3 linked regions of the Nothobranchius furzeri genome follow. The main gene of each other region encodes a partner of the protein of the gene in region 2 in a complex. Links are inferred from orthologs where the notes say so. Each region holds a gene or a part of one and is shown on either strand. Other genes may lie near its edges.

What was found.
Region 1: pole (region 2) and pole3 share a complex: the UniProt entries of both Homo sapiens proteins name them as parts of the DNA polymerase epsilon complex. The link is inferred for Nothobranchius furzeri from reciprocal best matches to the Homo sapiens genes POLE and POLE3.
Region 3: pole (region 2) and pole4 share a complex: the UniProt entries of both Homo sapiens proteins name them as parts of the DNA polymerase epsilon complex. The link is inferred for Nothobranchius furzeri from reciprocal best matches to the Homo sapiens genes POLE and POLE4.

Annotation. Positions count from the first base shown.
Region 1 is NC_091749.1:66,564,629-66,568,814, forward strand, and holds pole3 (DNA polymerase epsilon subunit 3), read right to left. Parts: upstream 2,730-4,186; 5' UTR 2,542-2,729; coding exon 2,476-2,541; intron 1,656-2,475; coding exon 1,570-1,655; intron 1,439-1,569; coding exon 1,320-1,438; intron 1,004-1,319; coding exon 834-1,003; 3' UTR 521-833; downstream 1-520. UniProt on the Homo sapiens protein: Accessory component of the DNA polymerase epsilon complex. Participates in DNA repair and in chromosomal DNA replication.
Region 2 is NC_091757.1:45,294,739-45,298,730, forward strand, and holds the start of pole (DNA polymerase epsilon catalytic subunit A), read right to left. Parts: upstream 2,851-3,992; 5' UTR 2,677-2,850; coding exon 2,609-2,676; intron 2,500-2,608; coding exon 2,370-2,499; intron 2,298-2,369; coding exon 2,217-2,297; intron 2,122-2,216; coding exon 2,077-2,121; intron 2,006-2,076; coding exon 1,913-2,005; intron 1,841-1,912; coding exon 1,686-1,840; intron 1,609-1,685; coding exon 1,464-1,608; intron 1,383-1,463; coding exon 1,302-1,382; intron 1,204-1,301; coding exon 1,096-1,203; intron 1,009-1,095; coding exon 898-1,008; intron 825-897; coding exon 739-824; intron 582-738; coding exon 462-581; intron 369-461; coding exon 236-368; intron 152-235; coding exon 38-151; intron 1-37. UniProt on the Homo sapiens protein: Catalytic component of the DNA polymerase epsilon complex. Participates in chromosomal DNA replication.
Region 3 is NC_091748.1:55,970,072-55,973,891, forward strand, and holds pole4 (DNA polymerase epsilon subunit 4), read right to left. Parts: upstream 2,332-3,820; 5' UTR 2,210-2,331; coding exon 1,973-2,209; intron 1,780-1,972; coding exon 1,695-1,779; intron 936-1,694; coding exon 894-935; intron 753-893; coding exon 739-752; 3' UTR 521-738; downstream 1-520. Other genes in the region: serine/threonine-protein kinase NIM1, read left to right, coding at 3,685-3,706. UniProt on the Homo sapiens protein: Accessory component of the DNA polymerase epsilon complex. Participates in DNA repair and in chromosomal DNA replication.

The sequences.
Region 1 (4,186 bases), on a different chromosome or scaffold from region 2:
TGTCTTAAAATGTTGGAGCATTAACTAATGTCCTAAAATGAACTTTTGTTGGAAAATGAGCATTTCAGATGTTCCTGCGGCGATGGATTGTGTGTAATACCTTCCACCCAAGTCTGCGTCACTGCAGGCTTGGGTGAAGTGCGGATCAAGGGTGCAAAGCGGGCGTGATCGGCTTTCCCATTGAGAATTGACGCCTCACACACCTGGGTCAGTATTGAGCTAGTGTGGCAGTGTGAGTATTGGGGTTGGGCCAATATCAGGCTGTTTGGACCATTGAGGTGGACCTGCTGTTAATTTTATCGTTTTATTTTTTTTTTGTATATTTATGTCGATGGTTTGGACATGGTGCTTAAGGTAACTCCTGGTCATGTGGTTAGATGACTTCTGTGTGCTGAAGGGTCCAAGGTCACTGATCCTTGGAGGGTTCCTGAACTGTGTTGTAGAGGAACCTTCTTCCTCAGGCCCCTGCTGTGGAGGTAACCTGCAACAGGAAGACTTCCTGTCTGATCTGAGACAAATCTGAAGGTTTCATTACAAACTTTTATTGAAGGACTTTTGTAATAAATGACTACAACAGTACAAATGGTAAAGAAAAAAACTGGGATTTCATTCTAAAACAGAACCCAGTGAAAGTCTTCACTCTGATATCAGAGGTCCAAAATCAACCACAGAAGTTTGAGGGGAACCTACGAGTCAGAATGGATGGTGACCTGGTGCAGGATCAAAAGTCTCAAACGTTAGGCCCATAAAGAAACGGGCCGACTGTTTCCTGCGAGTTTGGACGGGTGTGTGTCCGGTCTAACATCAGCTACCCAAAGATGTGGGTGGAGTCCTCAGTTCTCCACCTCCTCTTCAGGCTCCTCCTCCATGCATTGCTGCTGCTCCTCTTCATCAGCCTCGTCATCCTCTCTGCTCTTGTCATTCTCAGAATCAACCTTTTTTTCTTTATCTTTGCGTTTCTGCTCAGAAACCTCCTTCTTTCCCTTCTGGTCCTTCTTATAGACTGTGGAGAACAAAGACATTGTTAGCTGGTCCGGCTGCTGGAACACCTGGAAGCTTCAGCAGGAACTTGAACCTGATGGCTTTTCTGTGTTTACTCAGGGGTGAAAAAGTTCCTATCGACACAAAAAAAAAAAAAAAAATCTGATAAGAAAACCACATTTACAAGAATGCTGCGTTTACGGTCCGTCCAGAGTGGGAAATCCAAGGAACTGGCCTTGGAACCCCATCATGATTCGGCATTCCGACAGAGCCAGCCTCAAACTGGATCTGCTGCCTGCTGATGTCTTCTGACAGACTATTCTTAATGATGTTCTCACCTTCCAGAGCTTCCCTGAGAGGCTCCATGAACCGCTCGAACTCCATCTCCTCCATGGCAGCCAGAACGTCTCCCGCGTTCAGAGTTTTCCTTTTAGCCTTCATGGCAAAGTTGTTCGCACTGCAAGGAAAAAGGAAACTGGCTTGAGGAGCGTTGACGGGAACCATCCAGGTCTTTCTGCTGGGTCACAAATGTGTTAAAAGCTTGATCTTGTGAACAAAAATGCAGTTTTATTGGCTTTTTTTCCTCACCAGGAGGTTGCATACAACACAAACACGCTGGCTGCCTGAGAGATGGCTCTGCGAGCTTCTTTGGACACGTTCACCCCATCTGGGAGCTGTGAGAAACAAACGGTGCGGAGGAGTTATCTCAGAGCTTCACTCTGGAGTCAGAGCCAGCTCGCAACTGCTCTTTTTCACTCACAAAAAGCTAATTCACACATGAACGTGTCAAAACGTTTAAAAATGACCAAAATCGTTCAGATTCATCATCAAAACACTGAACTTTATCAGATTTATTTAGAGATGACTTATAATTAAAAGGTCTTAACTCCGGAATAAATATGAAGTACTGATAATTTTCTCATTTCAAACAAACGGAATCTGAATGTTATTTTTGATTCAGACTCATTTTGAATTTGAGCAGATTTTTTTTTCCTTTTAAATCAAAATGCAGCAATTATTAGATCAGAATCTAAAACCCCAAATCTGATTTTTATTGCTTTTTTTTTTTTTGGTCACTGACTATAAAATGGTTTTGTTTTCTAGAACATGACAAGGGCAAGTAAAATTGTATTTTGTAGACTTTTCTTGAAGCTGGTGAAATCCAGGAGGGACTGGTTAACCCTGGTTACCTTTAATTTCTCATCCTTCTTACAGATCTGTCATGTTTGAAGGGCCAGTAGCCTGAAGGCAATTATCTCCATCTCCGTGGGCTGTTATTAGAAACAGTACCCTCAACCAGAGGAGATCTGATGAACCAAAGCTCTAAGAGCCAAACCGTGAACGTCTCTGGTTTCATGTGACGTCACCAACACCCACAACAACTGTAAACTGGGACTGAATGAACACACAGCTGATCTGTGGTCTGTTTAATCCGGACAGTGGGTGGAATCAGACGGTAACCGGTGGAACCCGGACCCGGCGGGTTTCACTCACCGCCTCCTTGATGATGCGGGTGATCACCGCGTTGGGAAGATTTAGGTCTTCGGGCCTTTCCGCCATTTCTCCCGAACCACTCCGTTTCCCCCCGGTCGAGTCTCCGGTAGATGTCAGCGCGCGTAGTTAACGTGACTCGAATCCCTCGTTCTAACGTGAAAAGCTCGCGCGCCGCTGCTCAAACCGTCGTTTGTTTCGGGACGTTTCCCGCGAAGCTTTCAACCACCACAAGTCCGCCTGCGTCAACGATGAACTTTGACCTTGATGCGAATGACGTACTTCCTGTCTTGAAAACTAAAAGTACCAGCCAACATTTTCAATAACAGTCTGCAGCTAGACGTATATATGTCGATGAGCTAGACCTTGGAGGAGGAAACGTCAGCGTTTATTTATTTTTTTACTTTATTTAACAAACAATGAGTATACAACATAGAAACGAATGAAGTATACAAAACAACAGAACATGAACACACAAAGCCAGAGGTAAAAGAAAAAAGTAACAATTATAAGAATACACGCAAAAATTCACATATATATTGTTTTGAGAGCTTTTTTTGTTGGTGGATTCTGATATTGATTTTATGTACAATTCCACATGCTTAAAAATGACAGAAATTTGGTGTTTTGTTAGTAAACTTACATTTATGAATAAAGAATTTAGCTAAAAGTATTAACAGATTTATCATAAAAAAAACATTTATCATTCTTCATGGGGAACTTAAAGAAACAGAACAAAACATCTTCCCATCGTAAAGAAAACTCCCTTAAAATATGGACAGTAACAAACCTGCTAAATTCCTTCCAGAATCTTTGTGTAAAAGAACAGCACCAAAAAAGATGTGTCACAGTTTCTGGATGATCCCCACAGAAAGTACAATTAGTGTTTATGACCCTTTTAAATTTTACCATGTAATGACTGGCTGGATAACATTTATGTAGAAGTTTAAATGAGACTTCTTTCACCTTATTTACAATAAAATATTTCTGGGGGATCATCCAGACTGTCTTCCACTTGATATCTGGAACATATCGGTTCCAATAAGATATTATATACGGGAGAGAGACGATATCTTTCTGTAATAAACTACGTATTCTCTTATTGCTGTTACCAAGTTCTAGAGAAAAGCAGATTTTTCCTATTGGTGACTCAACTGGATTAGGGAGAGTGACTGAGGTAGATATTGAGCTGTCAGTGTTTTTATATAACATTAAAGCCCCTGAGGGTATGGCACCAAGCACCATTGACAATTCCTGAACACTGATTGGGAAATTATATAGGGCAATAAAGTCGATGTAAGTAAGTAGTTGTCCCTCTTTATTAACCAGCTGAGCCACCAATAGGATCCCATTCTGGACCCAAGTTTCCAGGAAAAGTGATTTATTTTTAAATAAAATATCTCTGTTGTTCCAGATAAGATATTTGTGAGGTGAGAAGTTGTGTTTATAAATGAGGGTCCACGCTAAGAGGACTTGCTTATGGAAGGGTGAAAGTTTTATAGGGAGTTTCTCAACATTGTAATTACAATTTAAAATAAAATTAAAGCCACCAAAACAAGAGAAAATATGATATGGTATAAGGTTCCAGATAGAGGTATGGTTTTTAAGAAAATGTTTAGCCCAGTTAATTTTGAAAGTGTTATTTAAAGTAGAAAAGTCTAGGACGTTAAGCCCTCCTGATTCGTACTTATTCATCACAACAGTTTTCCTAATA
Region 2 (3,992 bases):
GATACGTCTTCTTTTACTACAAAAATCTGAGACGAACCTCATCAGGCTCCATGGGGATGATGGTACACAGCGCAAAGATGAAGGGGTGAACATATTTCATGTACAGGTAATACGTGGCCACGGCGTCAGACACAGAGTAGGTGGCTAAAGTCTGTGGGAAAAGAAAAACAAATGTATTTTTAACTGACTAATCTTTTCTTTTATAGGATTTAAAACTCAAATCTTGTTTCTGGACCTGTGGCTCCTCCGTTGCCATGCGACACATCTCCTCAGGGTCCAGCTCCACCGGGTCGTAGCCCAGTTTAGCCTTGGCTGCTGCCTTGAGATTGTGACTTCCCACAGGTAAGTAGCTGTCTCTCTTTACCCACCTGGTAAAAGTTGGAATGAACGCGTGAGAAAACAATTCCCATTAAAATAATCAGCACACCTTGTCAGTAGGTGGGAGTCAGAATCATCCCCACCTCAGGCAGTCCATGTGGATGGCTTGGCTGGACTTGTACTCCCCCTGGCTGTCCTTCTGGAAACCGATTTCCCTGTGCATGCTCAGGCCGTGGTGGGCAGCTCGGGTCTCGACAAAAGGCCTGAAGAGGACCAAAAACACCCTCACAAAATAGAAGTTTCTAATAAACTGCTATTTTTAAAATTAATCCTGGATATTTTATAAAGTTTTTCCCCATTAACAAAGAATAAACGTGATTTAAAAACTGGGCTGTGAGTTTTTAATTACAATCAGCTCACCAGTCAAAGAAGTCTCCGTTGTAGGTTACAAATATGTTTGGTTTGGTCTCCTGAACGTGATCAAACCACCTCTGAATGAGACCAGCCTGCAACCAGAAACACTTTAATGCAAAAGCACTTCATACGGTAATAATCAGCTGAATCTGCACAGGTCTAGACCTCATCGGCCTCATTAAAAACAGTGAAAGGCCCTTCGTATTCCGGTTTGGGAGTGAACTCAAAATCCTCAATGTTCTCAGAGACAATCTCTCTGTTTGTGATCAGGAACCCCTGAAGAAATAAAACACGAGTTGGCAAACTGACGCAAACACGATGAGGTAAAGGATAACTTTGCGAACGGCTCTGTGTTAAACCCACCTGTCCGTCTATCATGTAGGAAATCATCATGATCTGATCCGTCTCTGCGTCTGGGAACTTCAGAGGAAGTTTGGTTGTCTCGATGTCAAAAGCCAAAACAACCGGGTCCTAAATATCCAAAAAAAAAAATTTCAATAATACAAGACTTAATGTAATCAGTGAGAATAAATAATGTGTTTTCAAGACAAAAAACAAAATATACGTACCGGGCGCTCCACAAGATCCTCTCTGCGTACGATCTCTGGCGGGAATGCGCTGCCACGGTAACGAACGTTGTACCAGTGAGCCTGAATGAGGCAGAGATAGCACAGATTATTACAACATTTATGTAAATAATAATCCAAGGTTTTATTATAAAGTGTCCTCACCACATGAATCTTCAGGTCGATGGAGAGTCGGACGTGGTAGGGCACATCGTACTCTCTCATGTCCACTATGTTCTCCAGCTGATCCACAATACTTTTCGACATCCCATCATCATAAGCTGAGGTGACGTTGCCACCTGACAGAGCGCTAAAACAACAAAATCCAGAGAACACTAGGAACGTGATGCTTTCAGGAACCCAGCAGACACAACAGATCATTCCTACCTTGATAACATTGAGGTGTAGGAGTCGTTGGACTGCTCCCTCTCTCGGTTCTTCCTTACAGCCGGAGCGATCTCACGCTTCACTTTGATGAGATCATCAACGGTGTTGAACGACAGTTTGATGTAGTTTCTCTTCAGGCCCACTAGATGGTTTGGCTGCAGAAATTGAGAAGTAGATTTTTAGTGCGTTGTCAACAATGGATCCTCTGACTGCAAACTAAAACTGACCAGATCCAAGTCCTCTTTTGGAAGCATCTCGAGTTTTGCCACCTTTCCTTGGAACTTCTTGGATAAGTATGAAATGACTTCCCTTTCACAGTTCTGAAAAGAATAATTAAGTTCTATAGGAATCTGATAAAACGACTCAAAACCTGAATCAAAATCAGACTTACCTTTCTAGTAGCAATGTAAAAATAAGGCTTGAAAGGAAGTGCCACCTACAAGGAGTAAAGATCAGGAAGAGCATGTCAGGGCAGAATAAACATCAATCATTAATATGTCATCCAGCATGAGGCTTTTTAAATAAACCAACCTTGAATCTGCTTCCATCCTCTTGGATGAAGTAGTAGTCTACAGCACTGATCATCCTCCTGTCCTCATCTAGGATCTCCGTCTACAAACGCGAACAAACGCGTTAAATGTCTCCTGAGACAGAAACCTGGTAGACTTCAGAGTGTGGACTCACAGGGTGCATGTTGATCAGCCAGCCTGTTTTCTCCCCGGGCTCCTTCATCCTCTCGAAGCCGAAACGAGCGTCCATGTCGTCAGTGAACTGGCTGCGCTCGAGCCGCTTGACGGCCGACGAGCCATCATCCCTGGTTCAGACAAGCAGCTACATTAGCTCTTCGTCTCATTTTGGAACACGCTGAAGTACTTCCACAGACACAATTACATCTAATAAACAGAAATTACAAGCGAACTTACTGGTTATCCACATCTGCTCCACTTTGTCCACGGTCCGCCCTGTACCGTCCGCTGTTTTGCAAAACCATCCTCTGATTCAGTTTTTCAGCTGCAACACCGTCATATATGTTTAAACAACCATTTGCTTCGCCGTAGGCGTCTAAATTATATATTAATATTAGTATTTTAAAGCGTTGGTCGTTCTCTGACAGCGTAGCCGACCGGATTTGTGTTTTCTGGATTTCGCGCGTTCCTGCAACTGCCGCGAGACCAGAGCAGAGCCGGAAGAACAAAGATCGTTTGTGAACAAAGATAAACACCCGCGCACTCTGATACGATCGCCGCACAACAACAAAATTAACAAAATACGTTTTAGTTAGGTTAACTTTCCAGCATAGCTACGAATTGATCTACTTGTAAGGTTAAATTGTGTGTTTTATCAGTAAATTTCAACACTGAAAAGGTCAAAGTTGCACTCCTCATCATGTAAACACAAACACACAAACTCTGGCAGTGTGCAAAAAACCATTAACTTTGTTTCCATTTATTGTAACCCACGTGTCTTTTATGGAACTCAAAAGTATTCAAAATTCAATATACAAATAAGACATTATGTATTAAAAATCTACATGAAGAAATACTAGACGATCATGTAATCTGACAATGAAATGAAATAACGGATTATGTAAAATCTAAGCTCAATATTATGAAATATTTTTCATTCTTTTACCATTCTGTTATTTCATCATTTTATTGTCAGATTACATGATTGTCTAGTATTTCTTCATGCAGATATTATTTATGTATTGAATTTTGAATACTTTTGAGTTCCATATACTAACTTCATGTAGCATTCATCACTTCCGTTTTTCTTCAGCTTGAAACTACACATTTAGAGGGTTGGTATTTTTTTTTTTTTTTTTACATATTTGATCTTTGATGGTTTCTGGGAGGAGCTTGAGAGGCTCCTCCCTCTTACGTGAACGTGTTTACTATCGCACTCGAGAGGAGAGGGTGCTGGTAGCGGTGAAAGAATAACACCGTCTGGTCTGGTGGTAGGTACTTTTGAAATTTGCTGCCTTGGAAATATATGAAACGGTTTATCGGCCACCATCGCAGCGTTTAGTTGCATGAGGAAATGCGTTTTCAATCCGACAAACACAGAGCCTTATGTGAACATATGTGACAGTTATTCCCTTGACTTGTGAAAACAGCGACCATATGGTCTTATTTTTGGAACGATGACTGTAAAGTGATCCGAATTTAGAGTTTAACAGACCTCACTGGAACCATTTACACCCATTCATCTGACAACTTGACCTTTAAATGGCCTTGTTTTCAAATTAGGATCAGAAAATATAAGGAAAAAGAAAAATTGGAAGGAAAAACACCTTCCTGCTAAATT
Region 3 (3,820 bases), on a different chromosome or scaffold from region 2:
CCAAAACTACATCCATTTATATGATAAACTTGTGTAAATTAAGATAAGCTAATAAGAGTAGTTGTTATTAGCAGCTTTGTCATCTCTGCCAAGTTTGTTGTGACATTTGAAATCTAAATTGTTTTGCCACACCTGGAAAAACTGGGTCCTGAAATGGGACAATGATCCCAAATACAGCAGATACAGGTCCTTCTAAAAAATAAGCATATTGTGATGAAGTTCATTATTTTCTGTAATGTACAGATTAACAGACTTTCATATATATTAGATTCATTACACACAACTGAAGTAGTTCAAGCCTTTCATTGTTTCTAATATTGATGATTTTGGCATACGGCTCATGAAAACCCAAAATCCCTATCTAAAAAAATTTGCATATTTTATCCAACCAATAAAAGAAAAGTGTTTTTAAAACAAAAAAGTCAACCTTCAATTAATTATGTTATAATTGTACAATTCTGTTAAAAACTCCATTACTGGGAATTGTATATTTCTGCAGTTTCCACACAAGATGAAAATGTGTTGTTAAAACAAAAGTTTATTCCATTTTCCAGTAACATTACTCACATATTTACAAAACCATTTACACAATATCAGACAAATTCAAAGTTAGAGCTTGTCATATAAAAACATTTAATCAATCTGTGAGGTTGACTTAGAAAAAATGTTCTGTGATTCAACAATGAAACACATTTTAGACAGTTGAGGATCTTTTTAATGTGGTCTTATAAAAAATCTTTAATCCAGTGTTCCTGTAGAGGAAAGAGGTCAACATGATAAGACACACAAACACATCTGCATGTGGGTGAAGTTAAAATACCAGAGTCAAAAGATGACATGGAATAATTTGCAAAACTTTGCAGGATTGTTTCATGTCTTTTTTTATGATTTACCTTCAAGAAATGCAAACTCATCTATGGCCTCTATTGCATTGTCTGTGGAGGAAAAGTAGAAGAGTGTGCAATTAATATTTTCATTTATTATTATTATTAATATTGTTAAAACTGAATCACTTCATGCCTGTTTAAAGTGTTTTCTCCACCAGATGAAATTATAACATTATTATTAACATAAATACTGCTTTTTAGCTACTGAGTAATGAAGAAGAAACAAGCTTTTATATAGTGCCTCTCGAAATAAAAATCAGGAGGCACTTAGTGATTTCTATCAACCTAACTAAAGCTTCCTTCTTTATATATAATCACCATTTTGTTTTGAACAACATGACTTTTAAAGTCATTATATTCTCTAGCACTTCCACTTTTCATGGAGATACACAAATACGTAGCATCCAACTTCGTCCGCTTATCCGGGGTCGGGTCGCTGGGGCAGCAGCCTAAACAGAGGCCCAGACTTCCCTCTACCCAGCCACTTGGGCTAGCTCCTCCAGGGTAATCCCAAGGCGTTCCCTGGCCAGCCCAAAAACATCCAGCGTGTCCTGGGCCTTCCTTTAGGTCTCCTCCCAGTTGAACATGCCTAGAAAACCTCACCAGGGAGGTGTCCAGGGAGGCATCCTAACCAGATGCCCGAGCCACCTTAACTGGCTCCTCTTGATGTAGCAATATTTGTTTCTATAAAATTATGTTGCTAGAAGTATTCTTAATTTCGAAATACTCTTAAAAATGACTTTAAAAAATGTATCAAAATAAAAGGAATCAATTTCTGAAGTCACTTTGAAATGTTTCAGCTCTTACCCAAGTCTTTTCTTTGTAAAGTTTTCCTCTTTCCTTGCTGAGCATACACCATAGCATCTTTGGCAATCATCTCAACAAACAACTCCTGGAAAAAAGGGAAAATTAGGTCAAACTTGTAGGTTTGGTGTATTTTACCTGAAACTAACACGTGTGTTTTGCATTAAACAATGGCAATTGGTTTATATTAACTATTTTGTGGACTAAAAGGTTTATTCTAGATAAAACGTGGGGGACGTGACATGAAAACATTGACCTTCTTACTGAGTAAACCGTTTTACCGTAGCTTTAGCGATGATGAACACAGACTCCTGGCTAGCCAAGGACACGTCTGGATCCGTCTTCATCAGAGCTTTGATGCGGGCCAGCGGGAGTTTGGACAGACGGTTATGGGGCACGACGGCCGGGCCTGTCAGCTGCTGACCCCGGTCCTCTGCCTCCACAGCACGGTTCTCCTCCTCACTCCCGCACCGCTCAGCTTCGAGCTCCGCCGAGGGAACGGGCGTTGCTGATGACATTTCCTATGGCCTCACAATCGTGTTTTGCTGTTATAAAAACACTCGAATATCTCTCATTTTACACGTCCCAGACAACAACATCAACCGCCTCGAGCCAGCATGTGCTTCCGGTACATCGTGGAGCGAATGGTGTTTATTGGTCAAAAGCTCAGACCCCGCCAACAAATACTCGTCTGTGATTGGACAATTGTTAAAGGATGCCTTGTCATTGGTTAGAATTGACGTCAGTCAAAATATGTAGCAGCAAGATTCTGGAGTGAATGTACAATTTGGTGACGCTGTGTGGCGATATTTCTAGTTTTAATTCACGCATTAGAGGTTTTAATGTTGTGATTTTTATTTTTCTACATTATGAGAAATTAAAAACAGTAAAAATAAGTTGGGGTCAGCTCACAAGTGGTCCACTGGAGGGCGGTAAAAGGCGCTGAAGACACCAAACTACTGAAATCAATTCCCTGCAGTTTACTTTTTAAAGTACAATGTTGGCAGATAAGAGCCTTATATCACAATAGCAATTTTACGTTTCTGGAAAAAAGTATGTGTAAGTGAAATAGTGTCTCTTTGTTAAATCTCTGCTTACACCATCATCATCACCACCTCCATCATTCTTAGCTGATCATTGTCAAGAGATGGACAAAATCCAACCAGGTAATCAGATTACAAACATGTCTTAAAGACCTGAAAGACTCTTACTTTTCTATTTCCATGTTCAGAGAAGACATTGGCTGTATTTTTTGGACCTGAGAGTTTTAAGATCACAGCTTGAAGACATTCACTTGGCCTCCAGTACTAGTGACAGGATCCTTGGTGTTATTCTGGACCAGGATCCATCCTTATACTCTCAGATAAAACATGTTACAGTTAGGGTAAATTTGAGTAACTCATCACTTTAGTCATGCTGCTGGATTTAGATTGCTGGGGGGGAAACTGACTACATTTCCTAAATTAGCTGCCTTAAACTCTGTTTAAATACTGACTACACACAACACCCCTCTGATAGTCCAAATATATATATATATATTTTTATAAATGCCATTTTGACCTTTTACTTCCTTGACATCTGTAGGGCAATAGTTTCCATATAGGTCTAACTATCTGTAAAAATATATTTCTTAGGACAAACAATCACAAAAATTAAGATTTTCCTGAAGTTATACAGTATTACCTAATTAACGAACATCATATTCACCGTTTGTTTAAAACTCGTATGCAGATGAAGTTTATTCTAAGAACAGCTGTTTTAATATAATCACCAACAAATAACCAACATTATGTGCTATATGCTTAGGTACATAGGTGCTTTAGTCTTCAAAAGTATGTTTTCAGCATTTTTATGAGGTCAGTTTGTGCCAGAGGACATGATGATCAGGCCACTAATACACAGTATTAATAGGATTGGGAGGAGTGCTTTAGCCCTCTGAGGATCTCTTCACACGTAAGGACACAGTCCGGCGTCAAAGCCTCCGGGAACAGACATGAAGGACCCACAGCTCCCAGGTAAAACCCTTTCATTTATGTTATATTTGATTTAACTATATATAATTATCATTTAACTCACCTTTAAGAAAGTAAAATGCTTTTATTCTTTATGTATTGGTGTTTTAAAATATT